Linked DNA regions of Pelodiscus sinensis. The protein of the gene in region 1 interacts with the protein of each later gene in a pairwise test. Links are inferred from orthologs where the notes say so. Each region holds a gene or a part of one and is shown on either strand. Other genes may lie near its edges. The genes, in order: UBQLN1, KLHL42, AGPAT5 and NME3.

The links.
Region 2: the proteins of UBQLN1 (region 1) and KLHL42 interact in binary tests that used the Homo sapiens proteins (3 or more experiments, as listed by UniProt). The two-hybrid records come from large-scale screens. The link is inferred for Pelodiscus sinensis from reciprocal best matches to the Homo sapiens genes UBQLN1 and KLHL42.
Region 3: the proteins of UBQLN1 (region 1) and AGPAT5 interact in binary tests that used the Homo sapiens proteins (3 or more experiments, as listed by UniProt). The two-hybrid records come from large-scale screens. The link is inferred for Pelodiscus sinensis from reciprocal best matches to the Homo sapiens genes UBQLN1 and AGPAT5.
Region 4: the proteins of UBQLN1 (region 1) and NME3 interact in binary tests that used the Homo sapiens proteins (3 or more experiments, as listed by UniProt). The two-hybrid records come from large-scale screens. The link is inferred for Pelodiscus sinensis from reciprocal best matches to the Homo sapiens genes UBQLN1 and NME3.

The regions. Positions count from the first base shown.
Region 1 is NC_134716.1:40,477,693-40,484,895, reverse strand, and holds the start of UBQLN1 (ubiquilin-1), read left to right. Parts: upstream 1-4,096; 5' UTR 4,097-4,364; coding exon 4,365-4,526; intron 4,527-7,203. UniProt on the Homo sapiens protein: Plays an important role in the regulation of different protein degradation mechanisms and pathways including ubiquitin-proteasome system (UPS), autophagy and endoplasmic reticulum-associated protein degradation (ERAD) pathway.
Region 2 is NC_134711.1:129,725,540-129,733,636, reverse strand, and holds the start of KLHL42 (kelch-like protein 42), read right to left. Parts: upstream 3,057-8,097; 5' UTR 2,914-3,056; coding exon 2,051-2,913; intron 1-2,050. UniProt on the Homo sapiens protein: Substrate-specific adapter of a BCR (BTB-CUL3-RBX1) E3 ubiquitin-protein ligase complex required for mitotic progression and cytokinesis. The BCR(KLHL42) E3 ubiquitin ligase complex mediates the ubiquitination and subsequent degradation of KATNA1.
Region 3 is NC_134713.1:41,456,905-41,465,191, reverse strand, and holds the start of AGPAT5 (1-acyl-sn-glycerol-3-phosphate acyltransferase epsilon), read right to left. Parts: upstream 3,040-8,287; 5' UTR 2,497-3,039; coding exon 2,278-2,496; intron 1-2,277. UniProt on the Homo sapiens protein: Converts 1-acyl-sn-glycerol-3-phosphate (lysophosphatidic acid or LPA) into 1,2-diacyl-sn-glycerol-3-phosphate (phosphatidic acid or PA) by incorporating an acyl moiety at the sn-2 position of the glycerol backbone.
Region 4 is NC_134726.1:470,002-477,476, reverse strand, and holds the start of NME3 (nucleoside diphosphate kinase 3), read right to left. Parts: upstream 3,236-7,475; 5' UTR 3,223-3,235; coding exon 3,105-3,222; intron 1,317-3,104; coding exon 1,186-1,316; intron 1-1,185. Other genes in the region: MRPS34 (small ribosomal subunit protein mS34), read right to left, coding at 6,193-6,476. UniProt on the Homo sapiens protein: Catalyzes the phosphorylation of ribonucleosides and deoxyribonucleoside diphosphates, other than ATP, into the corresponding triphosphates with ATP as the major phosphate donor.

The DNA.
Region 1 (7,203 bases):
CTGAAGTTGTGTATGTTAATTCGGCTTTTGTCCTGCACTGTAGATGTGCCTTTGATGATTACCTGTTCTGTTCACTCCCTCTGGAGCATGTGGCATTGGCAGGACACTGGGTTAGATGGACCTTTGGTCTGATTCAGTATAGTTGTTCTTATGCTATGTTCCTATGTTTGTGATGAGTTTTGCTTTCTAGTTTTTCATGTGCTGCTGGCTAAAGGATGTGAGATTCACACCAATGCAATTTAATGTCTTAAAGTGTTTTATTGTCCCGAGAGAGACAAAAGTTATTGAGCTTCAAACTCTTTATCATCTGAACTGAAAGAGTAGGTACATCAAGAAATCATATTGTGATGAACTTTCCCCCGCACCTGAGTAATTCTATGACGAGGACCCACTGTAGTGCATTAGTAAGTCATTTTGCATAACTGATTGCAATACATTACTTGTTCCCATTTTATTAAATGATCTAATTGAATCAAAGAATTAATAATCTGCCTCATTCAAACTAAAAAATTATAAAAGATGTTCCAAAAAGCATGAAATTATGTAATTGATATTTGTGAGACTACATTATTTTGTGATACCCTAATTTCACAAATGTTGTAGCTGGGATTGAAACATGTAAAACCTACATGTAAAACCTATGATTTCCTTAGTTACCACTACTTGTTTCATAGAATCATAGGAGATTAGAATTGAAAAAGACATCAGGTGGTCATCTAGTCCAATCCCCTGCTCAAAGTTGGACCAAATTTAACTAACCTGTGGACTGCAAAAGAAATTCTGCCTTCCAATCTGATGTTTGATTTCTGTATAAAATGCTGTTCCAAGATAATTTCCAGTGCTCTGTGCTGCTGGAACTGTTACAGTTCAGGGCAAATACCTGTATTTCTACCCCACCCTCAGCTCCCTAGCTGTTGCTCTCAAGTGGACATTCATATCTCTTTCAGTCTGATCATTGTATTTCCAGACTGCACAGTTCACAGCCTTTTGTATGTTTCCTACCACAGTCTGCTTAAATAGAGCTGCTTGCTTTCTTTTCAGAGACTGGTAACAGAGGAAATGCTATAGGTATGTAGCACACATTTCCTCCTATACCTTAAGGCTGTGACTAGACTGGCCAGTTTTTCCGGAAAATCAGCCACTTTTCCGGAAAAACTTGCCAGCTGTCTACACTGGCCGCTTGAATGTCCGCAAAAGCACTGACGATCTCATGTAAGATTGTCAGTGTTCTTGTGGAAAGACTATGCTGCTCCTGTTTGGGCAAAAGTCCTTTTGCACAAAACTTTTGCAGCTCAGATTTGTTTTCCGCAAAAAAATCCCGATCGCGAAAATGGCGATCGGGGCTTTTTTGCGGAAAAGCGCATCTAGATTGGCACGGATGCTTTTCCGCAAAAAGTGCTTTTGCAGAAAAGCGTCCGTGCCAATCTAGACGTGCTTTTCCAAAAATGCTTTTAATGGAAAACTTTTCCATTAAAAGCATTTCCAGAAAATCATGCCAGTCCAGACATAGCCCAACAGTGGTGGTATTGCTGTGGATGCTTCCATTATAGTTCTGTAGTCCTTTTTAAATGGTGAATGTTTATAATAGGAGAGAAATCTTGAGTAAAGATTTCAGATTAGGTGTTGATTGCACAAAGTAGGTGAGCTCTGAAGCAGGCCTAGTGAGATGAAAGAATCCTCACTGCCAGCCTTAGTCTCAGCTCCCCACCCACCCTTTGCAGTAGAGCAAGACTACTGCCACTCCATACCCCACAGTGAAGAAACACCTAATTTTGCTATGACACATAGGCCTGCACCAGTTTTGCTGACAACACCACAGCAGCAATAGCGGTATGGTGACCATATTTTCTGAACCAAAATTAGGGACACATTAGCCATGCCCCTGACTTCCATTAACCATGCCCCTATGACCTGTTAGCCACGCCCCCATCACAAGAAGTCCCACCACTGAAGGTAGTACTCCTTAGGTCAAGATGGACACATGAGCATAAGTAAAGGGTGACCCTTCTAAGAACTCTTCCTACTGTCGTCCTACCAATAGGGATAGGTTTGGCCCACACAGGACACTCCCCATGAAACTATCCTGCAGTTACATTAACCCGACTTGCATTGCATTAACTTGGGGAGAGGGGCGGAGAGGCTGGGGGAAGTGTTCCCTCTAAGATTTTCCTCCCATAAGCAGAGTGAGTTTTGTCTTGTGCACCTGTATTGAGGTCATGTCTGCTTGTTGGGATGTGTGCCACTGTGGCACCCAAGTTACTAATAAACATCATAAACCTCTCCCTTTTCCCCTCTGCTGCCATTGTCTCCGTCCCTTCCCCTATCTGTTCCCCCACCCCTCACTCTCCTCTGCTGTCCTGCTCCTGCCCTTTTCACTCCCCTCAGCCCTGTGGGGACCTGCCCCCCTCTCCCCTGCCCTGCACCAGCCCTTCTCTTCCCCTTTTGCCCACTCTGATTATCTGCAGGTACCTCTCCCCATCCTTTCTCCTAACACCTCCCTCTACCCACTACCCTGCGTCTCTTCTCTGGGGCCCATCCCTCCCCTCAACATGTCTGCCCTTCTGCTTTACCCCCATAATCTCCTGGTACCTGCACCTTCCTGGTGCCTCCTCCTTCCCTCTCTGCTCACCCCCTCACCACTCTCTGCCCCAGTTCTCCTCATGCCCCCTGTGCCCTCACCTACAACTTGCTCCATCCCCTGCCTTCCTCATGTCCACCCCTCCTTTCAATGCTGCTTCTCCCAGCACCCACTTCACTCCCAACCTCTCCTCTTCCTTCCTCTTGCCTCTATATTCCCTCCCCTTTTCCACCCCCCACTGACACCTTCCCTCCCCCTCCTGCCTTTTTCCTTTGTCTCCTTTTGAGAAGAGGCAGGGGGAGAACTAAGAAGAGGGGTGAGGAGAGGGAAGGGGCTTGTGTGGAGGGGAGGGGAGGGGAGGTGGGGGGCAGCAGAAGAAGAAAGGGGGCAGGCAGCGGCAGAGTGGAGGAGAGACAATTAGTACGGGGATGTAACCAACATTACAAAGGGATTGTACTGATATTTGATTATTCTGGGCCTGGGAGCAGAGTGGAGTCTAGTGGTTATATGCAGCACAGCCAGCCATCTAACTGGGCAGGCATTCTGAAAAGCAATATGACAAAATAGATATTACAATGAGTGTGCTATCTTGATGATGTGCTCTATCCTTAGCAGCTCTGCGTGGACCTTTTGCAAGTGCTTGGTATCACTGGCCCAATAGTTTTTAACCTCGTGTGTTGTCCATGGACAGCAGTGGCCAATTGATGGTTTAATGAATCTGGGAAAGGGACAATACACTAGAACACTAGTTCTTAATTTGTGATTGCTGGGTGCTTAGGTACTCACAACCTATCTCTGAGGTTAGCCAGAGCCTCTGCCCCTCTCTTTGAAAAAAAGGGGGGGTGCACAGGGAAAAGTGGTGATCTGTGTCCTTAGAAGCTGGGAGGGAGACAAGTAATAGTTCTAGCCCCTAAACAATTAATTCCTGGCTTTCTCACAACTGCGTCGAAGTTATGGTATGTGTGAGTATCAGCTGCAATGCATGACACCATGATGAAGCAGCTCTGCACAACTGGGCCTCAGATTTCCGGGGGTGGGGTGCTAAAGCTGGCACTCAACCTATATGGCCTGGAGCGCGGCTACCCTATGGCCCCCGACTCTGCACCACGCAAGTTGCAAAGGGACACCTAGGCGCCTGGTTGCTTCAGAAACACCAGTAGTGAATTAACTGCGGCCGAGCGGCCCGCACTGCACGTGCTGCAATGGACGTGGCCTGGGGATACTTTGGACCCTCTCCACCCCCCGCCGACAGCGACGCACTAGGAGAGAGGGAGGCGGGGCATCAAGGCCTCGAGCCAAAAGCGTCAGGAACCACTGACGTCTCGCTCAGCCGCTCAAGCGCACGAGGCCGCACCTGCGCACTAGGCAAAGCGAACGCATAATTCGAGTCCCGTCAGATGACATGAGCAGGCGCGCTAGTTACACGTGAGAACCGAAAGGAGTCGCACGGCGGCTAACCATTACTCTCGCGCACTATCGGCCAATCGATATTGCGCGTGCGCGCTTGTTCAATCACCTGTTGCACATGCGCGCGAGGCTTAGCCCTGTGTCCTATGCCTGGCGAGACAACATCCCTTTCTAGTAACTTCCCTCATTCGAGACGTCATCAGTGCGCGCAGCGCCCGATCTGGGTTGTTTCCGTTTAACTCTCCGGGAGGGAGAGCGTCGCGGGTGTTTTCCGGTGTCGGCGCGCGAGGCAGCGGCGCTGAGGAGCCGGGTTTGCGCAGCGTGCCCCGCGCGGCGAGAGCGAGCGAGACCCAGAGCCAGCGGCCCCTCTCCCCCTGCCATGGCTGAGAGCGGAGAGAGCCCCCCCGGGGCCCCCAGCCCCCCGGATTCCCCCGCCCCGGGAGGAGCCGCCGACTCGGAGCCTCGAATCATCAAAGTCACCGTGAAAACCCCCAAAGAGAAGGAGGAGTTCGCGGTGTCCGAGACCAGCAACGTGCGGCAGGTGAGGGGGGCGGGCCCGGGAGGCCGCGCCGGTGGGGAAACGGGGCAGGCGCGGCCGTGGAGCTTCCTGCCCCCTACTCAGTTTCCGAGCCCCGGAGAACGGCAGCCGCGCGCTCCTGCGAGCGCGGAGGTTGGCGGCGCTGTCCCGGTGCCGAGGCCAGCCGCAGAGCGGGGCCCTCCCCGCCAAGCCAAGCCAGGGCCCTGCCGGGTGACGAAGCAGCGCCTCGCTGAGTAGCACTGCGCTGCCGCTCCTTGCCCTGGCCCTGCTTATTTCCCGCTATAGTACAGTTAGCCCCGCGACTAGCCGGCGCCGGCTCGCCCACGGGCAGCGAGTTCTCGGAGAGCAGAGAGGAGCGTCTTTACCGATCTTTGCTACTGTAAGCTGAGCCTAAGCCCAGTTAGCCGAGTGGCGCTAACTGCGGGAGACGGGGCCGCGAACTGCTAATTGAACGGGTTACCAGTCAGGCGGAGGTTGGTGATGAAAGAAGATAATAGCAGCCTTCACCTGATAGTCCTCATGGCTAAAGAAAGTGGTACAGGACGTGTTTCAGTTAGGAAGTGTGCATGTGATGCTTTTACCCTAAAAGAGTATTGCGGTTTAAATTAGATTGAAAAAAAAATCGCTAGTTAAATGTGGAAACGTGTTAGTGCTATTACACAATAGTTTCTCTGGTGTGGTGTAGTCATGAGCTGTTAGAATCTTTTTTTCTGTAAGTTTTTATGACAGCCAACTTGTTCCTTTGCAACTTGCGTTCATAGGAAAGAATGCTATCTATTGAATCAAACAATTTCCTGTGATATTCTTTTTTTGGAGGCCTTCCATCCAAATATTGACTAGGCCTGATTATACTTAAGCAAAATGCAGGACAATGGAGCACTTTAAAGACTAACAAGATGGTTTATTAGATGATGAGCTTTCGTGGGCCAGACCCACTTCCTCAGATCAAATAGTGGAAGAAAATAATCACAACCATATATACCAAAGAATACTTTGGTATATATGGTTGTGACTATTTTCTTCCACTATTTGATCTGAGGAAGTGGGTCTGGCCCACGAAAGCTCATCATCTAATAAACCATCTTGTTAGTCTTTAAAGTGCTCCATTGTCCTGCATTTTGCTTCAGCTACCCCAGACTAACACGGCTACACTTCTATGATTATACTTAAGTGATGCTTGGAGTTTTGTGGTTGCAGGCTGTAAGACATTACCAGTGAAACTGTAAAGCAACTAGCAAAATAGTTTCCTTGCTCATGAAGGAGACAAACTGCCACATTAACAGAGCTACAAAAATAAATGTTATCCATGGGAACTCATTTTATATTCCTTTTTGTGTGTGTAATTATTTAGCATCCCTAGAGATGCATTAGATGCCGTTTAAATTTAAACACCATAATGACTTCAGCCAAAGCTGCACCCTTCTTTTGTAAGGCTTTGTAAGTAGATTTTTTGGAACATGACCAGTGTGTGGAATGGTGTGGTAGCCTATTTGATAAAGGCTATAACTTCTGGGCAGATATAAAGGACAAAATAGGAGCTCCAGCAGCAAGAGCTAGGATCAACACCCTGGTTAGAAGCACAGCCCCTTGCTGCTACTAGGAAGGGGGAAGATGCTGAAATTTCTATCCTGGTATTCCTCTTTGGATCCAACTCAGAAATCTGATTTTTTTTTTTTTAATTAAGATCAATTTTTGATTGCTGGGCCAGAAGTTTCAGGAAGGCCTACCTCCTGATGGCTGAAAGGGGGCGCGCTTTGTCCATTAGGAGTGGTGTAAGCTTCCGAGTTATGAATTCTATCACTCCCCATGCAATGTAATTAAGTTGACTTAAGCCATGGTGTAGAAACTGCTAAATTGCCAGAAGAATAATTGTCAGCCTAGCTACTTCCTGTCAAAGGTGGATTTATTAGAACAATGGAAGAACACGTTCCACTGCCATACTATTTGTCTATGCTGCAGGATCATAGCTTGTAGTATTTCCAGTGAAAACATACCCTTAAGCTTTTCCAGAATCTCCTGACTGCTGCACTTGGGTAGGCTCTGTTACTCTGCCTTCAAGCTTCATTTTTGGACTTGTGCTTACCTAGGCAAAATTCCAGTGCCTCTCTGATACTTCTGGCTTGCTTTTGCAAGCAACAGCTGTGTGAAACTGACACTTTTTCCATTTCCCCATTCACCTGAGAGTTCTGAATAGCAGTAATGAAACTGATTACTTTTATTTCACTTCTTTTCTAAAATTTTGCAACTTTTGACAATCCAGCTAAGAGATGCAAAGCCTTTTCAGTCATATGGACCAGTCTTTCACTTAAATTAATAGGTAATAGGTCTCTTCTATGTGGTTTTGAGCCTGTTAACCCAGAGCTGTTTGTTGTTTAAAAATGACAACACTATAAACACTTTGCATTTAAAATTTTTTCAGAATAATTTTATTATGTATAGGAACTATTTTAGAATTGTCACTTGCCATGAAAAGCTTTCTACTTGCAGATGGGTTTTCCAAGTCCTGCTTAGGCTCTGTAGTAATTAGGGACGTAAAATCCTGTTTAATTGGTTAAATAGGTAAACATATTGTTTAACTGGTTAACTGATTAAAAAGGGAGCAAGCTGGGCAGGAGGGGGAGAGGGCACTCCTATCTGTCATGGGCAAGGATGCCCCACAGATGACTGCTCTGTTGTCCCA
Region 2 (8,097 bases), on another chromosome or scaffold:
GCCTGTGGTAGAGCAGGTGGGGCACTGCTGGTTGGTCCCGCAGCACCGCTCCTTGGCGCTACTGGACCAACCAGGCAGCACCCCAGCTGCTCTGCCCCAGGCGTCCTGATTCAGCTGCTGATCAGTTTCAGCAGTGGCTGAATCAGGATGCCTGGGGCAGAGCAGCTGGGGTGCTGCTGGGTTGGTCCAGTAGCTCCGAGGAGCGGCCGTGCTACTGGACCAAGCCAGCAGCACCCGAGCTGCTCTGCCCCAGGCGTCCCAAAGTCAGCCGCTGCTGAAACTGACCAGCGGCTGACTACAGGAAGCCCGAGGCAGAGTTGCTCTGCCCTCGGCTTCCTGGAATCAGCTGCTGATCAGTTTCAGCAGCAGCTGACTTGCGGACGCCTGGGGTTCTTACCTTGAATCTGTATGTAAGTGGAACTGGTGTCCAGATTCAGCGGCTGTTGAAACTGATCAGTTTCAGCAGTGGCTGATGCCAGTTCCGACTTACATACAGATTCAACTTAAGAACAAACCTACAGTCCCTATCTTGTACGTAACCCGGGGACTGCCTGTACTTCTATCAATGATCCTATGGAGCATGCATCATCTAGAAACATGTACAAACTAAGATGTTTGCCTTTTTTCTGATCTTCATTATCTTTTTCTTTATGAAAAAATCAATAAACACTAATTGCAAAAATACAGAGTTGTATGGGCCACTTCCACTGACAATTATAATACAGTTATGATCAACTTCATCAGCTTTTAAAACAATATAAGAAGCAAAAAGAAAGGAAGGCACCAGTTTCAAGGCAAACATTTTTGTTGGGTATACTCGATGGTAAATTCTCTTGGGCAGGGACTAGGGATGTGACTAATTACTCCCCCTTCCTCTCCCCCAGGGGAGGAGCAGGAGCCAAGACTGAGGGGAATTGGCTTAAAAGCTGGTTTCCCCCAGCACCATCTCTGAGGGGGCAGAGAAGGTACAGACACAGAGGAAACAGTGTGAGCAGGGTCTGAAGCAGTCTCCACTCGTACCAGTTCTGCTGTGATTCTGCTTTTAAAATGTACAAGAGCTCCATGTGGTCGTGCATATTTCAAAGACTCAGGCGCCGCAGGGAGCACAGGGCCAGTCCCCCACTGGCCTCACGCTCCCTACGGGGCTTCTGCTTTTGAACTGTAGCAAATACCTGGCAGAGCTCTTGCTACAGTTCAAAGGCGGAAGTGCCCTTATAGACTAAAATCGAATAGTGGATGGAAATCCCATTGACTATATGATTAATTAATTAATTAATTAATCTAAATGTAACATCCCTAGCAGGAACTGTGGTTTTATAGCAGGTGTGTGCAGAGCCTACCACAAAGTTTAAATGCCACAATACAAATAAGAACCTGTTTGGTCAATCTTGACTCTGATGTTCTGTACTCCTTACATGCATGGATCCATTGATGCCAACAGGACTCCTATATGTGGAAGACCAGATTATTGAGCCAAAAGACCCCATGCACTGACTAGGAAGAGAATTTTACCTTCATTATTTTACCATGAAATTCTTTTTTAAATAAAGACAGATATTTGGAGACTACAGAGAAAACTAGACCCTAAAGGCCCGATTGATCACTAATGATCTAAATGGGTTACCTGGTAAGCATCCCCCCCTAGACATACATACATGCATTCTTTTTTCCCTCTCTCTCTCTCCCCTCCTCCTTCCCCACTTCCATCCCTGAGCAAGCGTGGGGCCGGAAACAGATGGGTTGAAGCAGCCCCTGCCCACAGGGCAGAGAGTCCCCACCCTACTTTAATTTAATCAGTTAAGTGATTAAACTTAATGTTTAACCGGTTAATTAAACAGGATTTTACATTCCTATTAATCATCTCTTCGAGTACTGTCATTAACATCAGCAAACCGGGAGAAAAAGGGACAGTCAAATGCTGCTTACACTGATAGTGTTGACTTCACAAAATGCAGGTAGGTGGTGAATCAGGCCCTGCACTTCTGGGTCTAGTCTATACCTACCCAACTCAAAATGCTATATCTTGGTAATGCACCATGTGGGGGTTTACCTCTTTTGGTTCATTGAAGCCATCTGACACCATTCATTTATACAGGGGTTATAACAGTGGGCAGCCGATATCTCTTGGCTGGTGATCCTGTAGCCCCCGACGACAAACAGGTAGTTGTCCATCATTGCCGACCCATAGCCTCGGACATTCACTAGATCCAGGGGCATGTTGCTGGCCAGGGGCAGCCACCTCTGAGCCACCTCATCATACCTCAGCATGGAGCAAGGGGTTTCCTCCTGCAGGTGGCGGCATGGGGCCAGGCCCAGGGAGGAGGCACCCATGAAGTCTCCAATAGCCAGGAGGGTGGCAGTGCCCTTCATTCGCCTCTCCCTCAGCTGCTGCCTGAGGGCACTGGGCAGGAGGAGGTGGGGACGGGCCTCCGGCCGCCGCAGAACCTCATGATAATGGGCAGCCATGAAGCCCAGGCAGGCATCCTGCAGGTCCTGAAGGCCATAGACCTGGGCCAGGCGGTGCAGCTCCAGGCAGTTGCCCAGCCTCACCTGGGAGAGGAGCAGGCGCAGCAGGGGGGTGACCTGCAGGTAGGAGGCGGCCTCGACCAGCTCTTCCAGCAGAGGGGGCTCCTGCTCCCCGCCCTCCTCCTGCTCCAGCCGGGCCAGGCAGGAGGTGTTGATGAAGTCCAGCACCAGCTCCAGCCCCTGGGCGCTGAGCCCCCCGCGCAGCTGCTGCTCCTCCTGCCCCTGCCCCGCCTCCCGCATGCCCGAGCGGAACAGGGCGCGGAAATAGTCGCTCTGCTCGATCAGCTTCCTCTTGCTCACCGGGTAGCACCTGTCCCCCAGCCGGATCCTCACCACCTCCTCCTCCTCCGCGCCAGCCGCTGCCTCCCCCGCCTCCGCCTGGGACATGGCCCCGGGCTCCTGCCTGCCCCGCCGGCTGGCGGGAGGAGCGGGGCGGGGGGTGGCTCCCGTGGCGGCGGGCTCAGCCCCTCTCCCGGCTGCGTCCCGCGGCGGCGCGCAGGCCTAAAAAGGCAATGCTGGAGCCGGGGCGCTGCAGCAGGCCGGGGCCCCAGCGTCTCCAGGCCCCAGCTCCCGGCCGGGGAGGAGCCCGGGGAGGGCCTGGAAACGTCGCTCTCTGCTCCGTGCGCCTGGCGGGAGCACCGCCCCCCTCGTCCTAGCGAGCACCGGGGGCCGAGCTCAGCCCCGAGCTGCCTTCCCTGGCGGTCCCGCGACAGGTCCCTCCCGGGTGGGAGTCGCTCAGCAGCACCGCGCAGAGCCCAGAGACCTTTAGACCTTCTGACAATGGGGAAAGAATTTCGGCTTTATTTTTCTGTCTCTTATACCTCACTAGCAGATTTACCCAGCATTGGATGGGTCCTTAACTCATTCATCAAAAGAAAATGAAAATGTACATGCTTCCTTTAAAAATAAATAAAAAACGAGTGGCCCTGTATAAGCTTAGAGACTTACAAAAACATTATATAGCAGAGGTTCCCAAACTTTTTCAGACTGGGGACCAGTAAATCCATTCACAAGCTTTTGGAGGACCAGTAATGTTTATTTGCATATTCATTAAGCAGATGATGAATATGCAAATAAATTGTTTCTGGTCCTCCCAAAGACCCCATTGCCAACTTTAGCCCACAGAAAGTCAGTCCAGGCCACACAAGTGAGATACAAAAACATAACCCCTCAAACCTCACTAATGTGATCCCAACTGTGTTTGTGGGTGCTAGGACAGAGCTCTGGGGAAGGGTGCCAATGAGTGCTGGGCCAGGGGAGAGGATGCTTGCGGGTGCTGGGGCAAGGGACAGAGCACTTGTGGGTACTGGGGCAGGGTATTGTATGGGTCCGGGTGGGGGGGGAGGGGACAGGACCAGGACCGATACCTGGCGATCTTATAGCTGCCAAGGCCTAGGAAGTGCGCGGGCTGCTCCCCCGTCCTCCAAACGGTGGCACGGTACCTGACACGCTGGTCTGTTGCATGCCTGATGCCTTCCTGCACAGCGGGGTCCTGGACCGTGCCAGCCCCAACCGCTTGGGCAGTGCACACCTAGCTCCTCTGCTCTCCATGGCAGCATGCGCCGCCCGAGCAGCTGGAGCCAGCATAGTCCCGGATCTCCACCCACTCCCCTGCGCACGGGAAGGCAGCAGGGGAACAAAGTCCCCACCATGCGCTGGACCGGCATTTTAGGTACTGTACCGGCTGTTGGGGCAGGGGGAGAGCAGCCCACACGCTTCCGGAACCTGGTACGCAGCTGCAGAACTGCCGCCCTATCCCGCAGGAAGCCTGTGCTACCTCCATTGACACTGGGAGTTCAGTGCAGAGTTCATCTTGTGGATTGCAGGCCGTGAGGCGGGCTCTCGCAAACATTTTTCTGAGGCCTGGTATTTTTTTCCTAAGGACCAGTACTGGGCCGTGGACCACAGTTTAGGAAACGCTGTTATACAGTGTCATGAGCTTTTGTAGGCACAACCCACTTCTTCAGATGAGCAGAGCAAGAGCCACAGAGAAGTACAGAAATCCAAAATTTTAAGCTGAAAAAGAGAGGACAGAGGGATAAAAAGGAGGGAGGTGGGGGTAGGCAGAAACCCTGTCAACTATAGTGTCCATGCTAAATGTGTCTAATAGAGTGGGCTGTGTCTGATCCTTAGCTTTTGATGTCATTTGGGTGTTGAATATAACAGCCCATCTAGCTAATATCTTTGTTCTGTCCTTGTGTGAAGGTGTCAGCTTTGCATATGAAGACCAGTTCCACAGTTTCTCTCTCTAGCTCAGGGGTGGGCAAAAGGGCCTCCGTAGGCCAGATCCGGCCCACCAAGCTGTAGCAATTAGGGCCTGGGGGCAGGGGAAGCGCACCAAGTTTCCTCTGTCCTGCCAGGAGTATGTAGCACTTTGAAGTGCCTTGCTTGGGGGCGGGGGAGAACATGAAGATTCTTCCGCTCTATCCCCACCCTGCGAGGAGCACACAGCACTTTCAAGTGCTTCCTGCTCCTCGCATGGCGTGGGTAGGCCGAAGGAAACTTTGTGCACTTCTCCTGCCCCCCAACCAATCAGGGTTTGGGGGCAGGGGAATGCGTGAAGTCTCCTCCCACCCTGCCAGGAGCACAGGGCACTTCAAAGTGCTATATGCTCCTGGCATAGGGGAGGAAACTTCATGCACTTCCCCTGCCCCCAGGCTCTAATTGGCCTGGAGGTGGGGAGTGTGCAAAGCCTCTTCCTGTCCTGCCAGGGGCATGGGTGCTTAGTGGGAAGGGGGGGGCAAAGAGGCTCCCCCACCCCCGACCAATCATGATCTGTGGGTGGGGAAGCCCGGAAGCATCCTGGCCCCACCCTTTCTGTTATAGGCCCCACCCCAGCCAAAAATTATTGCCCACCCCTGTCTTAAAGGAATAACAAACGTAATATAACTGGTCTGTCTGGAGAAGGGCTAGACAGAGCAGGACAGACATATCCAGGGATGGTCTGGCACTGAGTGTGTGGAGACTCTGTACACTATAATCAAGGCTGGGGACAGCCACGGTAGGACTGGCAGACTGCAGTTACAATAACACACCTGGGAGTGGCTAGCATATTGTTGTCCAGTTAGGAGTAGTCTGATTATTTCTTTTGTTGTTTCCGTGGTGGTTGTACTCCTTGTGATAGAAAATAAAAAGTATTGAAAAACTAAGCCAAGAAGCAAAAGGAGTTTACAATTTAGACCCAGATCCTGTAAACACTTAAGCACATGCTTAGCCTCTTGCATGGAAATACATTTAATTTATTTTAATGTGATTAGTCACAAGCATGCAACACGGTGTATTTGCAAAGTAGACAGTGAGTTTAAGGGATGGTACTTGGTCCTGCTGTAAGGGCAAGTGAGTGGACTCGATGACCTCTCAAGGTCCCTTCCAGTTCTATGAGATGGTATATCTCCATATATATATTAATGCAAATACAATCACATGTGAGGAGTATGGAGTGACATACATTGAAAATGAAAAAGACCTATCAGCTTGTGTAGTTTGTCCTGTACCCAGAAGGTGGGGAATGGGAATCAGCATAGCACAGCATACAAATATCTCATCAAAGTGTGATAGCTCTATGACAGATTGTACCCCCATGTTCATACCTTGCACACCTTGGTAACAATCTGTGTGATGTAAACTAACAATTTGCCGGTCATTGTTGTCATGGTAAAATGCATGTGGGAACATTGTATGTAAAGTTGTTTTATTCAAGAGTACGTTGTTACTAACAATGTTCCAGGTCTAAGGAATGGTCAAACAAATGCCTCAGAGATAAAGGGTAAGTTGACACCTCAGCCAGGTATAAACAAGGCCAATGGATATTATATGCTCTCTGCACAGACTGCCAGTCACAATGCTTCCACCTGGAAATGCATCTCAAAGGTAGGTAAGAGGACTATAAAAAGGAAGGGGAAACAACTCCTTCTCCTGTCTCTCCCTCTCCCTTTGTTGAATACTGCACCAGAAAGAACAAATGATGCAACCATGGACCTAGAGAAAGGGTCCTGGCCTAAACAGTTTGACTGCTCAGAACATCTTGTTCGAAAAACTTAACTTGGAATTTAGCTTTCTTTACTTGCCTTTTATCTTTTTCTAGTAACCATTTTTGACTTTCATGTCTCATTACAGACAGTTTGAGTGCAAGTAATTCATAAACTTGTTTTATTGTTTTAGCTCATCGAGTGTGTTTGAAGAATCTGGGAAACTCTATTTGGGGTAACAAAATAGGTGCAGGTTGCCTACACAGACGGGAGTGAATTACATGCTGGAGACTGCAGGCATGCCATGACTGGAGGCTGGAGCAGTAAAGCAGTGTAAATTGCATCCCAAGTTAGAAAGCAGGAGTGACACAGATACTCGGTAGTGTAAATTATGCCCTGTGTATGTCACAATCTCCCAGGCTACAAAAGATACCTTGGGGTATTTTGGCATTACCCAAGGCTGGATTGCAGGGTGCTGGATTGCACCATGAGATTTGGGATGTTCACAGAAATATGTAGAGGTAGTAACTAGGGATGTTAAATTAAGTGTAATTAGCTAATTGAGTAGTCAATGGAATTTCCATCAACTACTCAATTAATTGATAAGGGGAGAAACTGCAGCACTGCAGCAGGGGACCAGGTGCAAGCTGGGAATCAACTGTCCCACCACTGCACCTCTGCTTTTTAAATGCATTAAAAGCCTGGTGTTTCTTAATACATTTAAAAAGGAGATGCACAGCATCTGGGACTGGGCACAAGCTGGGAGTCAGCTGATTCCAAGCTTGCACCCGATCCCAGCTATGCCTCTGCCTCCCCAGATGGTGCTGGGGAAATCGGCATTTAAGCCACACACACACACACACACACACACACACCCCAGCACAGGCTCCTGCTCCCCCCTTGCTGCCTCTCTTTGATAGAGGCAGCAAGGTGGGGTGGAGTGACTAGTCAAGTCACTACTTAACTACCTGATAAGCATCTTATTGGGTAGTCGACCAGTCACTTACATCCCTAGTAGCAACCCTTCTTGACATGCTGGAGGCATAGCTGTATTAAGAATGGATAGCCATTTATTAGCTACATATTTACTATTTTTCCACTTTGCACCTTCCAAGAACTTTACTAGACCATGGTATTGTAATAGAAGTAAAGGCATGCCCTTATTTTTCCTCCCCATCAGTAGCATTTAAGCATTTTCAGGTTATCTGCAGAATATCTGCAATTTGTATACCTTTTTCTGATAGATCGTTGTAGTGAAGCCTGAATCAGGGACTTCCAGAGCTAAAAGCCTCAGTCTCTACAGCTTAAGCTAAAGAGGCAGGCTATATAGCTGAGAATTGTAACATATTGACATCCTCTGTAGATTGGGTATAGGGGTGGACATGTAATATACACTGTGATGAGTGGGTCACATCCTTTCTCTGGGAGCCCAAAGAGAACAAACAAAGGAAGTTTGTCCCAAGTATCTTAGGCTTATGCTGGTTTGAATCCCAGACAAGTCCTCACTCAATTCCAGGTCAGCTATCATTTGGGCTAATAGCTGGAACTGAACTAAGTCTCTCCAGAGTGGGAAGTGTAAGATTTGGGGGCTGTACCACACTCA
Region 3 (8,287 bases), on another chromosome or scaffold:
GGCTTCCTGTAGTCAGCCGCTGGTCAGTTTCAGCAGCGGCTAACTTGGGGACGCCTGGGGCAGAGCAGCTCGGGTGCTGCTGGGTTGGTCCAGTAGCGCAGCCGCTCCTCGGCGCTACTGGACCAACCCAGCAGCACCCCAGCTGCTCTGCCCCAGGCGTCCTGATTCAGCCACTGCTGAAACTGATCAGCAGCGGCTGAATCAGGACTCCTGGGGCAGAGTAGCTGGGGTGCTGCCGGGTTGGTCCAGTAGCGCCAAGGAGCGGTGCTGCGGGACCAACCGGCAGCACCCCACCTGCTCTACCACAGGCCCCGGGCTTTGCTCCACATCTCCCTGGTCTGCTGAGGGGGGCACTAGCTGCGTCCCCCCCAGCAGACCAGAGAGACGCGGAGCAAAGCGGCGGAGGACCCGGGCTGGACCCGCGGCGCTTCCAGATCAGCTGGAAGCGCCACAGTCCGGCCCGGGTCCTGCGCCGCTTTGCTCAGCGTCTCCCTGGTCTGCAGACCAGGGAGACGCTGAGCAAAGCGGCGCAGGACCCTGGGGCCGGACCCGCGGCCGCTTCCAGATCAGCTGGAAGCGCCACAGGTCCAGCTGGGTCCTGCGCGGCTTTGCTCAGCGTCTCCCTGGTCTGCAGACCAGAGAGACGCTGAGCAAAGCGGCGCAGGACCCGGGCCAGATCAGGGAGATGCAGACCAGGGAGATGCTGAGCAAAGCCGCGCAGGACCCAGGGCCGGACCCGCGGCGCTTCCAGCTGATCTGGAAGCAGCCGCGGGTCCTGCGCCGCTTTGCTCCCCGTCTCCCTGGTCTGCTGGCTCCCGCAGCAGACCAGGGAGACGGGGAGCAGCTTTTCTCGCCCCGAAGGAGGCGGGCGGCGGGACCAGGTGTCCCGCCACTCCAGTCCTCTGGGGCGAGAAAATCCCCGTTCGTATCTGCGGATCCGACATAAGTCGGATTCGCGTAACTCGGGGACTGCCTGTATAGTTATGTGCACACATACAGATATTGATAGGTGAAAGAGCAGGCTGAAACTTGCAAGAGAGGCCTCCAATTCTGGGTTTCTACCTTGAGATCTTGAACCTGAATTCAGAGCTACTAGAAATCACTGCTCCAATTAACTTCAGTGAACTTAGGAAAATGAGCAGTATGAATATTGGGAAGTTATGCTTACTTTCATTGGTTGTAATAATTGAAGTTATTATTATTAACAATATATTAATTTTTACATTTTATTTTAACTCAAAGGTACCCCTTTAACACTCCTTCTACTATGAACCAAGTGATAATAGAAAAAGTCTAACTTGAAACACAAGTCAGACACGAACAACTTTATATAACCCAAGATATATTCATAGTGATCATTCAATACTACAAATATGTTTGAAGCCACTATTTGCAAAGAACTCAAGGAAGGTCACAGGTTTTTCTTTGGGTAGCAACAGTCATTTCTAGTAGTTTCATTAATCCTGTTTGCCTTACTCCTGTCTATTATTTTATTACCTAGTATGGTGATTGTGCAAAAGAGACAGCATGGTTCTGTTGTTAAAAACACTAAAAGGGGAGAGCGCGTCTGGATTCCACAATGTTATTATGCAGATGTCTCTTTGCCTCAGTTTCCATATCTGTAAAATGAACATAATAATATTGGTCTTCCTTTTAAAGCACTTTTACAGCTGTGAATGAAAAGTGCCAGATAAACTTATTGTGATGATTCTTTGCAAAATAAGAGGGTCAGACCTCTACCCCAGCTTACAAAAGAAAAGCCAGAGCCTACAGAAATGAGAAGTCTGTAGGAGTTTTATCACCGATTTCCAAGGCTGCAGCTCACGGGTTTCAAGGTCAAGTGGCTGCAATTAAAGGCAGCTTGCTTAGCTGTAAAACCCAGACAAGAACACAGGAAGGGAGTGACAAGAAGATTTGAATTGAGAGGTTGTGCAAACAGAGGGCTAGGTCTGTGGATAGCCAGTGGCCTAAGTATATTTTCTTTGCCTTCGTGGTACTCTGATCTCACTGAGACTACTCTGCCTAATGTATGTCTATTTAGGTACAACAAACGCTTGACACGGGATGACCTGGCTCAGTCTGAGCAGTTCATGTAGTGGCACAGCTCGGCACCCAAGCAACACGGCGGCGACGGGTGCATTCACGAGCCCCAGCACAGATCCTGTGCCCTCCACGTAGCAGCTGGCTGGCAGTGGCCCCAAGTGCAGACCCCTTGGTGCCCACTCGGCCCCCCGCTCTGCTCGCTGCCCACTCCCGGTGCCAGGCGCGGGGGTTCACCTGCACGCCGGTGTAGCGCTCGAAGAAGAAGAGCACCATGCTCTGGTAGATGCTGTAGAACCGGTCATCCAGCTCCCAGTAGAAGCGGGCGGGCAGCAGGGCGGAGAGCAAGCGCCAGGCGCCCCAGGCCAGCACGTAGGTGGGCGCGGTGCCCAGCATTACGGCGGCGGGCAGGACATAGCGCATGGAGTAGGTGTGCAGCACCAGGGACAACAGCATCTTCCCGGCCCGGCCTCGCCGCCCCTCAGCACCCACGTGCGCCGCGTCCGGTCTGTCTCCAGCCGCCTCCGGCGCCCGGCCGCATAGCCAGCGCAGCGGGGGCGGGCAGGGGCGGCGCCCGGGCTGGAGCAAGCGTGGCGGCGGCGGGAGCTGGGGGATGGGCCGGGTTCCGTCTCCCCTTGGCCGCCTCCTCCACCAGATTGCCCGGCGGCAGCAGCGGCGCGGGCCGCAACAAGGTGGCTCCTCAGTGGCTGCGGGGAGACTTCCGGGGGCGGGCAAGGACCGGAGGCCGCCGCCCCGCCCCGTTCAGCAGAGGGTGTAGGTGGGGCTGCGGCCTGAGGTGTCTCCCCGGGACGGGGCTGGGCAGCGCCGGCTGGCAGGGGCCAGGCTGTTCCCGCCGCCCCGCCAGAGCCCTGGGTCTTCGGCCCCCCACATAGATCCCGTCCCGGATACTCAGTCTCCCCGCCCCAGTCTGGACGTCAGTCACCACGGCGTCTTGGGCACCCTCTCTCCCGCCCCGCCGCTAGTGCCCGCCAATCCTAACCTCCGTGTTAGCGCCCTGCTGGCCCGCCCCCACCGCAGCCGTGTCCTCGTCAGCCGCTGCCGCCTACCCCCACAGCCCCGTCCTGTCACCTGCCACTCTCAGCCCCGACTCTGGACTCCTGCCCTCGCCCAGCACCACCTCCCTGGTGGGCATCTGCCATTCCCCCGCCGCCTCCCTTCCACACACACATCCACTCTGTGTCTCACAGACCCATTCCAAGCACCCACCCCTGCAGTTCCAGTTTCGCCGCTCGCCCCTCCCTACAGCCCTTCCTCAGGCACTTACTTCCTGTTGTACAGTTTGGCTTATGGGCACCTAGCTCCTCCTGCCCTACCTGGATGTTGGCCCTTGTTCACTGCCCCCATCCACCACCATCCAGTGTGTCTCGGCACGCCAGGCCAAGTGCCCATCCTGCCTTTTCTGTCACACATCTCACAATCCCCTGTTCTGGGCATCCACCTTAGAGCGCCTTTAAGCCAATCAGTGCCATAGCAATGGTGTCACTTTTCAGCTCACAGGGCTTGGTGAGGGTTCCCTCAGCTGGGATGCCAGTATACCAAGATGTTGGTGTATGCTGCTGATCTTTCTCTATGGCTGAGTCTAGACTGGCATGATTTTGTGGAAATACTTTTAACGGAAAAGTTTTTCCGTTAAAAGTATTTCCGCAACAGAGCGTCTAGATTGGCACGGGTGCTTTTGCGCAAAAGCACCCGTGCCCAGTATAGACACACTTTTGCGCAAGAAAGCCCCGATGGCCATTTTAGCCATCGGGCTTTCTTGCGCAAAAAATTAAGGTGCCTGTCTACACTGGCCCTCTTACGCAAGAGGGCTTATCCCTGAGCGGGAGCGTCAAAGTATTTGCGCAAGAAGCACTGAATTCTTACATTAGAATGTCAGTGCTCTTGCGCAAATTCAAGCAGCCAGTGTAGACAGCTGGCAAGTTTTGCACAAAAGCGCTTGCTTTTGCACAAAATCTTGCCAGTCTAGACGCACCCTATAGGTGTTGCTATGCTGAAGTTGAAAATGCCATGCTGGATGGTAGATTACAAGCTCCTTGGCACAGGAACCATCTGTCTGACACACATTTGTACAGTGTCTGGAACCATGAGGTCCAAAATATTACTGCTACAGACATAAATAATAAATACATATTTCAAGAGGGATAAGAGATCTTTCGGAAAAGGCTTTATTTTCTGCAAGATCAGCGTCTAGACTGGCGCTTTTCTCCGGCAAATCTCCGTGCCGAAAAAAAGTGGCAGCCATTTTTATACTAATGAAGTGGGGGAGATTTAAATCCCCGCTTCATTAGCCATTGTGATACGTCTAATTTACATCCCTTTTTCGAAAAAGGGATGTAGTCTAGACGTAGCCATACAGTAACTGGCAAACTGAGTCTTGCTAGTGGATTGTTTCTACCTAGCAAAAAAGGTTTTTTTCTGGAATTGGGCTGCTTGTTTTTGTGGACAGATCTACTTAGTGCCACTTGTTATTAAGGTGCCTGAGATGTCCCATTCAAAGTTTGTTTTCAGTTGTTTATAGTTTTATCATAGCATAACTTCAGCCTGAAATTTACATCCTGAGGGTCTGCCTCAAATTGGTTGTTTTGGGTTATTTTTGTTTTGTTTAATTTTAGCTAAAATGATTTAGCTTTTTCCATGTAGTCTTCAGGATCATGTAAAGGATACAACTCTTTACTTACTGATGTTTAGGGAAAATTTACCAATATAATTATACCATAGCAGTTATACTGGTATAATGCTACTTGTGACAGCACTTCTTATGTGGGAATTTACATCAGTATAATTATATAACCGTATAATTATGTGGGTAAATTTCCACATGCGGACAAGCCCTCAGATGCTGTATGTTAGAGCTGACCAGACGACAGTTGTATTTCATGACAGCTTTTGAAATCTGGAATGAAATCCAAGCCTTTTGAACACTTTTGTGAAAATAAAATTGTGTCAAAATTTATTTTTGATTGAGTTTTTAGTTCAGGAAGTATACACTCCCTCACTCTTTCCCCCTTCATGCTGAAAATTTTGTAGAAACTAACGTATTTCAGCTTAGATGAAACAGCACTTTTGACAAATTGTATTTTTGTTTAGTTTTAAGGTGAGATGGCAAGCTGACGTGTCTAAAATTCCTGTGCTTTGGTTGACGGTGAGAGGAACTTGGGTTAGCCCTTGCAAATGAGGTTTGTTTGACTCACAGATGTGTGCATATTGATTGATCTATTTATGGCTTCCACATATAAATTCCACATAACTGTTCATACCTCAATGGCATTTTGCTTAGCCCCCACATTTTTCCTTCAGAAAAAACCCTGAAATGTAAAGCATTAAATGCAACAGCTTAAAATATTTAAACTCTTCCTTGTTGGATTAATTACATGATGGTGTTGGCAAATTTAAGAACCTATACACTAGAAAATATTAATTAGACTGGATGAAGCCAGATAATGTCACATCAAAATCAAATGCATAAAAATGAAACACTATGTAAATACCACCTGAAGTATGAACATTTAAACTCCCAAATTTGGAAAGTCAAAGTTCTCATAGCAATATTAACACGATCATATTGCACAGATGTCATAGCATTTCAAGTTACTACTACTGAGATCACAATATTTTGTTTCTGTTCACTTATCTAGAACCAGTATTTGGGAAAAAATAGTGTTTGGAAATAATTTGCTCTGCTCTGCCCTGCCAAGAGGCCCCTACAAATCACACAACAGTTCATGAAATCACATTATTCTGATTAGCATCTTATTTCTCCACTTCAGTTTTGATGTGATTTTTTGCCACTAACATTTTCTGGATTGCTAGCAGTGAAAATTAATACAGTTTATACCATTTCAAAACTTCCATTTCAATTCATGTTCAGAAATAAGTTTGAGATAGAAGCCAATAAGATCATGTCAGAACTCAAATGGAGGAGGCAACCAAAGTGGTAATTGGAACAGTATGATTTATAGTCTGATATCTTGTTCTGCTAGGACTAGAAATTATTTTTGCACCTGGAAAGATGAAATTCTGAAGCAAACACAACTTTGCAACTTAAATTTGGCCCCGTTGTGTATATGCATCATGATAAAGTCTCCAGTTACAAGATCACTAAGGGTATGTCTACACTACCCCGCTAGTTCGAACTAGCGGGGTAATGTATGCATACCGCACTTGCTAATGAAGCCCGGGATTTGAATTTCCCGGGCTTCATTAGCATAAGCGGGGAGCCGCCATTTTTAAATCCCCGCTGCTTCGAACCCCGTGTAGCGCGGCTACACGGGGCTCGAACTAGGTAGTTCGGACTAGGGTCCTATTCCGAACTACCGTTACTCCTCGTTTCACGTGAAACGAGGAGTAACGGTAGTTCGGAATAGGACCCTAGTCCGAACTACCTAGTTCGAGCCCCGTGTAGCCGCGCTACACGGGGTTCGAAGCAGCGGGGATTTAAAAATGGCGGCTCCCCGCTTATGCTAATGAAGCCCGGGAAATTCAAATCCCGGGCTTCATTAGCAAGTGCGGTATGCATACATTACCCTCCTAGTTCGAACTAGGAGAGTAGTGTAGACATACCCATACTATTTTACAGAACTTCTACCTGGCTGTTGTTAAATATTGTGTTTTCTCCTCAGTATGTCCTTCCAGACCTTTTTTATTGTACAATATTTGAACCCTGTTCTGAAAAAAGAATTATAATTTTTCTCAGGGCACTTCACAAGAGAGTAGTAAAGTGATATACACTGGAGAAGATAAGTGTATTGTGGCATTGCACCTAAGGATTTTTAATACAGGGAGAACAAACTCAAAAGTATTCAGTAATTTTTGGATGTCTCATTAGAATGATTAGGACTTGATTTTTCGGAATATTTAGCATTATACAGCACATTTTACGTTGTATGCACACCACCTTCCAAAGCTCAGCACTTCCCCACAGACCCAAAGATATCAAATTGAACATTGAATAGTACAGTAAAACTCCATTAGTCCGGCATCCAATGCTCCGGGACTCCTGATGGTCCAGCACCATCAGGAACCCGGAAGTGCTGGGGCAGCCGGACAGGCTTCCCCCATTCAGCTGCAGCTGAAACTGACCAGCAGCTGAATCGGGGAAGCCGGGAGCAGAGCAGCTGGGGTGCTGCCGGGTTGGTCCCGTAGCACTGACCCTCGGGGCTGCGGGACCAACCCGGCAGCACCCCAGCTGCTCTTGGGGACGCCTGGGGCAGAGCAGCTGGAGTGCTGCCGCGTTGGTCCCGCAGTGCCGTCCTTTGGCGCTGCGGGACCAATGCGGCAGCACTCCAGCTGCTCTGCCCCAGGGGTCCCCGATTCAGCCGCTGCTGAAACAGATCAGCGGCTGATTCCAGGAAGCCCGGGGCAGAGCTACGGGACCAACCCGGCAGCACCCCAGCTGCTTTGCCCCAGGCGTCGGGATTCAGCCGCTGCTGAAACTGACCAGCAGCGTCAGTTTCACCAGCAGGCTGAATCCCAATGCCTGGGGCAAAGCAGCTGGGGTGCTGCGGGGTTGGTCCCGTAGCGCCGCCCCTCGGCGCTGCGGGACCAACCCCGCAGCACCCCAGCTGCTCTGCCCCAGGCGTCCCCAAGAGCAGCTGGGGTGCTGCTGGGTTGGTGCCGTAGCGCCGCCCCTTGGCGCTGCGGGACCAACCCGGCAGCACCCCAGCTGCTCTATTGCAGGCATCCCCGATTCAGCTGCTGCTGAAACTGACCAGCAGCGGCTGAATCAGGGACGCCTGGGGCAGAGCCAGACTGTCGTAAGAGGGGGCTATGAAGGGTCTGGGGTGGCATCCGCTCCCACCCCACTCCAGACCCCTCATAGCCCCCCCTTCTGATAGTCCGGCATATCTGATAATCCGGCACCCCCTGGGTCCTAAAGGTGCCGGATTATCAGAAGTTTACTGTAATAGAGAGGTAGCCGTGTTAGTCTGATCTTGCTAAAACAAAAGGAAAAACTACGTAGCACTTTAAACCATCTCGTTAGTCTTTAAATTGAACACTGGTAGGAGGTATCAGGCATTTGCTGCACCTGGTCGGAAGCCCCACCACCTCGACACTCTCTGCACTAAGATGATGCCCTGCTGGTAGGGAAGAGAAGCAAGTTTAGATCTACAGGGGTTGCCTAGAGAGTCCTCTGATGATGAACTGCAGGGAGAACCTGCAAAAGCTGGCTTTTCAGCACTTACATAGGCTAGAAGTAAGCTGAGGCCAATCAGTGCCTAGCAGGATA
Region 4 (7,475 bases), on another chromosome or scaffold:
AAATGGGACTAAAGTGCTTTGGAAAACTTGACCTTGAGTGCTGGTGGCCAGAAAAAGATCCAAATTAAATCCCTCTCCAGCTGTGCTGCCTACCTGCATGGAGACAAAACATGGGAACTTTCCTTTTGTTTCCTGTCTCCATCTAGTAATAGTAGGATTTAACACTATTTGGAGCTGCCATAGGAGGGATGCTGGAGAAATGGTCTCAGCCAGACTATACAGCAGCTCTGATACCAGGTGTTTCTGAGCTTTGTTAATCATGGCCAAGTGGATAGCAGGGATGTGAAGCATTAGTTGACTATCCAATAAGAAAAGGCTAATCGGATAGTTGACAGGATAGTCAACTTGTCGCTTCCTCTGCCTTGCTGCCTCTTTCAGGAAGAGGCAGCGGGGGAGAGAGGAGGTATTTCAAGGTGGCAGCACCACTTGAAGCCTGGGGCCAGACCCCAGGCTCCATGCGGCACTGCCACTTTGAAATGCCGCGTGCAGCCTGGGGCTAGCTGAGGTGGCCCCAGACTGAACGTGGAGCCCAGGATCCACGTTCCCCAGACTCCCAGCGGCACTGCCACTTTGAAATGCTGCACGGAACCTGGCATCAGGCTCCTTGCGGTGTTTCAAAGACGCTGCGCCACATGAAGTCCCCAGAAGAAACTGGGCTCCATGCAGCACTTTTGCCTTTAACGTGTGGCAACAACCCTATGGTCGATGCAAAATGCGCTGACTATTCGATTAGTCAGTTAATCGATACTTAGTGGACAGAGCACTGGACTGGGAACTTGTGAGGCAGGAATACTTAATCCTACTTCAGAGCAGGGGGCTAAACTAGATGACCCCTTGATGTCTCTTCCAGACCCAAATTTCTATGCTTCTATGGATTCTATTGCCAACATCGCCCCTGACTGGGTGACTTTAGGCAAGCAATGTCCCCGCTCTATACTTCAGTTTTCTCATATGTAAAATGGGGATCATGAAAGTGACCTGTGTAAAGTGCTTTCAGATTTATTGATAAAAAGTACTACATAAAAGCTATGCATTACTTACAAAGCACCATTAGCAAGCAGGGTGCAAACAGGTCCTTGTTCCAAAGGTTTAAAGCCACAAGACAGAGCATACACAATGCGGCCTGGACTGGACTTTTAGAGACAAGAGTGCCAGGACAATCCTTGATCTGCCAGCTCCTCTCACCTGCATAAGCTTCATCCCCACCAGTTTGAAGCCCTTCTTTTCAAAGCGCCTGATGATCTCCCCTATGAGATGCCGCTGTACCCCATCTGGCTTGATGGCTAGGAAGGTGAGCTCATTTACTCCTGTGTAAGCTGAAAGCAGATGAAGAAAAGGAAGAACACTTAGGTCTAGAGACAATCTCAGCATGCATTCAAGATCAGAAGGGTCACTACAACCAGGATCAAGGAACTAAAAAATAAAATCAGGGCCTGGGGAGCTGCGTGAAGCTTCCTTCGCCCTGCCCCCGCCCCGTGTGACCTCCTCGTAGGGCAGAGGAAACTTCCCGCAGCTCTCCCGCCTCCAGGTTAATCAGGGCTTGGGGGCGGGGGAGTGCGTGATGTCTTCTCCAGCCCTTGGAGGAGCACATAGCACTTTGAAGTGCCGCATGCTCCTCCCAGGGCAGGAGAAAGTTTTGTGTGCTCCCCTGCCCCCAGGAACTAATTGGCCTGGGGGCAGGGGAGCGGAAGGGCCTGCGCAGGCCAAATCAACTCACTTGGTGGGCTGGATCCAGCCCTTGGAGGCGCTTTTGCCCACCTCTGTACTAGATGGGGGGGGGGGGAGCTAGAGACCTCTGTCTTTCAGCAGGATAGTGGTATAGGGTCTGCCCAGTAGGGAGGGAAGTTATAGAATCACAGAAGATTAGGGGTGGAAGAGACCTCAAGGTGGTCATCTAGTCCAACGCCCTGCTCAAAGCAGGACCATAGAATACACTGGCTAGGCTTTGAGACTTCCGCAAAAGGAGGGCTGAAGCTTTGAGCGGCTAAGAAGATCATTAAGTTTGGCCATCCTAGCATAGATCATAGAGGTGGTATGTGTAAAAAGTTGGAGCTAAGAGTCAAGAAGGCCAGATTTCATTTCTAGCCTTCTAGTGGATGGCTGTGGGACCTTGGGAGAATTCTCTGTACCTCAATTTTCCCACCTGTAAAATAAACACCTTATGCAGCCTTTTTGTTCCCTCCCCAAGCCCAATTACATGCCTTAGTCAGAATGACCCAAATGCAGTGATAATTTACTGCCATGGAGAAGGGTTGGGTACCACTCTGCTCTCAGTAGTGCAGGGGTGGGCAATAATTTCACAGGGGAACCCACTTCATGAATTTTGGTCCCAGGCTAGCTCTGGGACCCCAAAAGAGCCTTGTGCAGGAGGGATGTGGATGCGGGCTAGAGAGACACAGTGGCTGTATCTACATTGGCAAGATTTTGCGCAAAAGCAGCTACTTTTGCGCAAAAACTTGCTGCCTGTCTACACTGGAGGGAAGTTCTTGCACAAGAACACTGACGTTCTAATGCGAGAAATCGGTGCCTCTTGCACATGCACTGACACTCCCGCTCAGGATAAGCCCTTTTGCACAACTGTTCTTGCGCAAGAGGCCAGTGTAGACAGGCAACAGGACTTTCTTGCAAGAAAGCCCAACGGCTAAAAGGGCCCCTGGAGCTTCTTGCCCAAGAGCGTCCACACTGGCACGGTGCTCCGGCGCAAAGGCACCTGGCAGTGCAGACCCTCCCGCGCAAATACTCTTGCGTTCAAAGCATTTGTGCAAGATCTTGCCCACGTAGCCGCAGCCTGCGCGAGCGGGACAGACCCTGGGGTAGGAGCCACGGGGCGCAGGCCGGCTGTGGCTGGGCGCGGAGCCGTGCGCGGCTCAAGGACGCGCCAAGGGGCAGCGCCTGCTCTGCCGCGCTCCTGAGGCGTTTCCCGCCCTGCGCGCGACCGCCCCGCCCCGCCCCGCCGCCGAGCACACGCGCTGCGAACCAGCGGGGCGTCGGCCGCGCGCCTCGGCCGAGCAGGGCCCGGGCCCCACGCAGCCCCTCCGCGGGCGACTCCTGCCCCCAAACGGCCGCGCCCCCCCGCGGCCTGGTCCCGCCCGGCCGGCGCTCACCGCTCTGGAAGAGGCTGGCGAGCAGGGTGAGCACCAGGCAGATCATGGCGGGAGACCGTGACGGGGCGCGCGCGTGGAGCCGGACGCCGCTGCTACGGCCTGGGCAACGCACGCGCATGCGCCGCTAGCTGCCTGGTCACGGCACACGCACACGCCGCTAGGGGGCGGGGAGGACGTGCCCGTCTCGCCCCTCAGCCCGAGCCACAGGGCCCTGCCAGAAAGCCCCGGGCTGAGGGGGGGGGAATGCGGGTGTGTTACGAGCCCCCCAGGCCCTGTCGGGTACGCGCCTAGCAGGCTTGCAGCGCCTAGCGCCCCACACGCCGTGCAGCCCGGAGCCCAGCTGCCTGCTTCGCGCTGAGGCGCTCGGGCTGCCAGACTAGGGGCAGCTAAACCTGCGACCCCGCCGCAGTGTCCTTACCCCACTGGCAGCCTAAGGGCCAGGCTGGTGCATGCGCTAGGCCGCCGCACAGGCGCTGCTTGGGATCCTTAAGAACAGCTACACTGGGTCAGAGCAAAGGTCCATCCACCCAGCGCCTGTCTCCCAACAGAACAGGGAATCATCATGTGATCCCTCCCCTTCACCCATCTCCAGACAAACAGAGGCTGGGGACACCATTCCTACCCATCCTAGCTAATGGCCATTGATGGACCTGACCTCCATGAATCTATCTCGCTCTTTTTTGAACCATGTTGAAGTCCTAGTCTTCACAACATCCTCTGACAAGGAGTTCCACAGGTTGACTGTGCGCTGTGTGAAAAAAACCCTTCATTTTGTTTGTCTTAAACCTGCTACCTATTAATTTGGTGACCCCCAATTCTTATATTATGGAAACAAGTACCAGTAAATAACTTTGTTACTCACTTTTTCTGTACCCATCATGACTTTTATAGACCTCTAGCATATCCTCCCTTAGTCTCCTCTTTTTTAGATGAAAAATTCAAGTCTTTTTAATCTCTCTTTATATGGGACCCATTCCAAATCCCTAATAGTTTTTGTTGCTCATTTCGGAACCTTTTCCAATGCCAATAGATCTTTTTAGAGATGAGGCAATCACATCTGTATGCAGTATTCAAGATGTAAGTGTACCACGGTTTTATAGAGAGGCAATAAGATATTCTCTATCCCTTTTTTAATGATTCCTAACAATCTATGTGCTTTTCTGACTGCCGCTGCACCCTGAGTGGATGTTTTCAGAGAACTACAGTAGACTTCTGATAATCTGGCACCTTTGGGACCTAGGTGGTGCCGTATTATCGGATATGCTGGAGTATTGGGAGGTACTCCAGCGGGGGGCTGTGATGGGTCTGCCAGGACCCGCAGTGCGTCCAGGGGGTGGGCAGGGAATGGCACAGCGAGGGGCGAACGCTCCGCCATTTTGCAGGAAGGCAGGGGAAGCCCCGCACCGCCGCCAAGAGTTTCCAGGAGTGGAGCATTTGCGCAAGAGGGCTTTTGCCCAAACGGGAGCAGCATAGCATTTCCGCAAGAACACTGACAATCTTATATGAGATCGTCAGTGTTCTTGCAGAAATTCAAGGGGCCAGTGTAGACAGTTGATAAGTTTTTTCGCAAAGGCAGTTGCTTTTGTGGAAAAACTTGCCAGTCTAGAAGCAGCCAATGTGCTCTGCTGGAATGGGTGCCTGGCCAGGACAGTATAGTTCATTATAAGGCTGCAAAGGGGTAAATAAATCTCAAAATACAACTACGCCTTTTTGCAATGAAAAATATTTTTGATATTTCTTTATTGTATTACCAATACCAAATAAGATCACAGAAAAAATACCAAATAAGATCACTTGTAAAAAATTAATGTATTTATTGTTTAAACAGGTCCACTTTTTTTTTCTTTTCTTGATTTACTTCTGGTAAGTTTTGTGGCTGAGGTCTGATGACCTAGCATGCTCAAACATTACAGGTTCTAATAACAGGTTTGTTTGCATCAACTAATCCTAAAATAGCACAGGGGCATTGAAGCAAATGGCAGCTTGACACTGACTGCAAAAGGGAGTCCGACCTTTTACTGTTTATAAGAAAAAAGATGGGTTCTTCTTCCCCACTGTCAATTTGGCATACAATGTGGAATTTGAAAGTCAAGATGGATTCCTTCTATCTTGCTCATGACCTTCACAATCCTAGTTCATTTGAGTGGTATTTATGGGTTTAGTTAGGGCTATAGTTGAGGAGATGCCTCTATTAGGGATGTTAAATGGCATTTAATCAGCTAATCAATAGAATTTTCATCAACTAGTCAATTAGTTGATGGGGGGGAGGGGTAGAGCTACAGTGGGGTTAGTTCGCAACCCCGGGAGCTAACCCTGCTGTGGTTCTGCCTTTTAAATGTATTAAGAGCCATCTAGCTCTTAATACATTTAAAAAGCACAAGTTCAGCAGGGGGGATGGAGATGATGCTGGGGAACCAGCTTTTAAGCCAGTTTGCCCAGCATCGGCTCCTATTCCACCCCCTTGGTGCCTCTCTCTGAAAGAGAGGTGGGGGGGAAGAAGAGAAGGGAGTGACCAGTTGAGTCACTAGCCAACTATCAGATAAGCATGTGTTTATTGGATAGTCACATAGTGGTTAGGGATGTATCAAGGCAAAGGGTTCTAAAATTGAAATTTAATTAATATGTCTGCTAATGGTTCACAAAACAGACTAGAATCCAACTCATGTCTTTGGAACTGTAGTAGCAGGATAAGAGAAGCTTGAAGGTGCCATTTTTAGAGTCGTCATTCTATTATTGTAGGCCCAAACTTTGAGAGCATCCTCTCAAAAGAGTCTCATTTGCGGTCTGCCTGCACACCTGGACACATACGCCGCACCAGAAAAGGCAAGGAACAAAAAAGGGAGGGCCCTCTGCGAATGAAAGACCACAAAAATCTTGAGTATCACTACATCTTCTGAATATATACAAGAAAGTTGCACATTTGGATGTGAAACGTATTGAGACATCAACATATTATACTTTAATACATTGAACCAGAAGTGGGCATGTGGCTTATGGTCCTATTCTTCATTAAGGAGAATTGTATGCGCAATCAACACAGAATATTAAAAAGCCTTTCAGATGCTCCAACATGTACAGCTCTAGACCTTCATACTGGTGTCCCCTTAGCTTTTTTCTGATTTTTAAAGTAGTCGTTTGTGAAGATGATGATTTTCTCCAGATCAATCAGTGGTTCCTGTGTGTCAAGTTTTCCTTCCTTCTGCCTTTGTGCAAGGATCATGGCACGGAGAAGGGGGGGATATGGCACATACTGAATGATTTCCACTGACACTGGAGTAAATTTCTTGAAGCACTCCTCTTCATGTTTGGGCACCATCCGCCAGTCATGATACATCACCTTGTCAATCTCTTTCACTTCATTATATGTCTTGCCTAAGGAAAGATGATGAACAAGTAAACAATACTATGAACAAACTCCATAATGAGGACTATGCCACTGCATTATCTCCAATGCCTCAGCTCGGCATAGTACTGGATATTTTATGGGAGTTGTATCTACTACAGCAGTGGTCCCCAACCTTTTTGGGTGGTGGGTGCCGCGCGTGAAGCAGGCGCCCGGTGTGGGGCCGTGCATGCGCCGGGCACCTGGGGGTGGCGCTAGGCAGGCACACATAAATGCCCCAGTGGGCACCACATTGGGGACCCCTGTACTACAGTACGCACTCCCACTACAAGTTGTATAGCAGATAACACAGGCAACTGACAGAACATCTGGATTATAGTCCTGACACTGCTCTTGATCACTTGTTAGCTTGACCAAGTCATTTCGCCTCTCTTATTCAGTTTCCACAACTCTATACTTTACAGGGATGTTGGGGAGTTTAATTCATTAATATTTATAAAACACTTCAGATGGAAGAGAACCGATTTGTCGGACTCCATTTCCTTGCCAACACAGATTGTCCACTATGACAGAGTCTCTAGGGATTCCTTCAAGTTACTTTTGTAATTTAAAACGAATTGGACTTTTACTATTTTCCTTGTGAAATAATTCTACAGTGGACTAAATCAAACTGTTAGGAAGTTTTCTTTTCTTGCTTTCATTTTATTAGGTTGGGTGAGTGAAAAAGGGGAGCTACCAGTGGAGGCGGATTGCCGAGTGACAAGAAAGCCAACTTTTTCCTCCTGAATAATCCAATTATCTGTAGGAGAGAATGCAGGAAGAAGCCCAGCAGCAGAGTGGGGCAATCCTGTTTATTGCACCCAGTGTAATTATCATTACCTGCCCTATGGACGGGTGGGGCATGTGTGCATTCGGTGAAAGGAGCTCCTGGCCCTCAAAGACCACGTGCTTTGGAGGCCAGGGTGGATGAATTGGAGGAGCTAAGGAAGGCACAGAGGTACGCAGATGAGGCTTTCCATCTCTAGTCA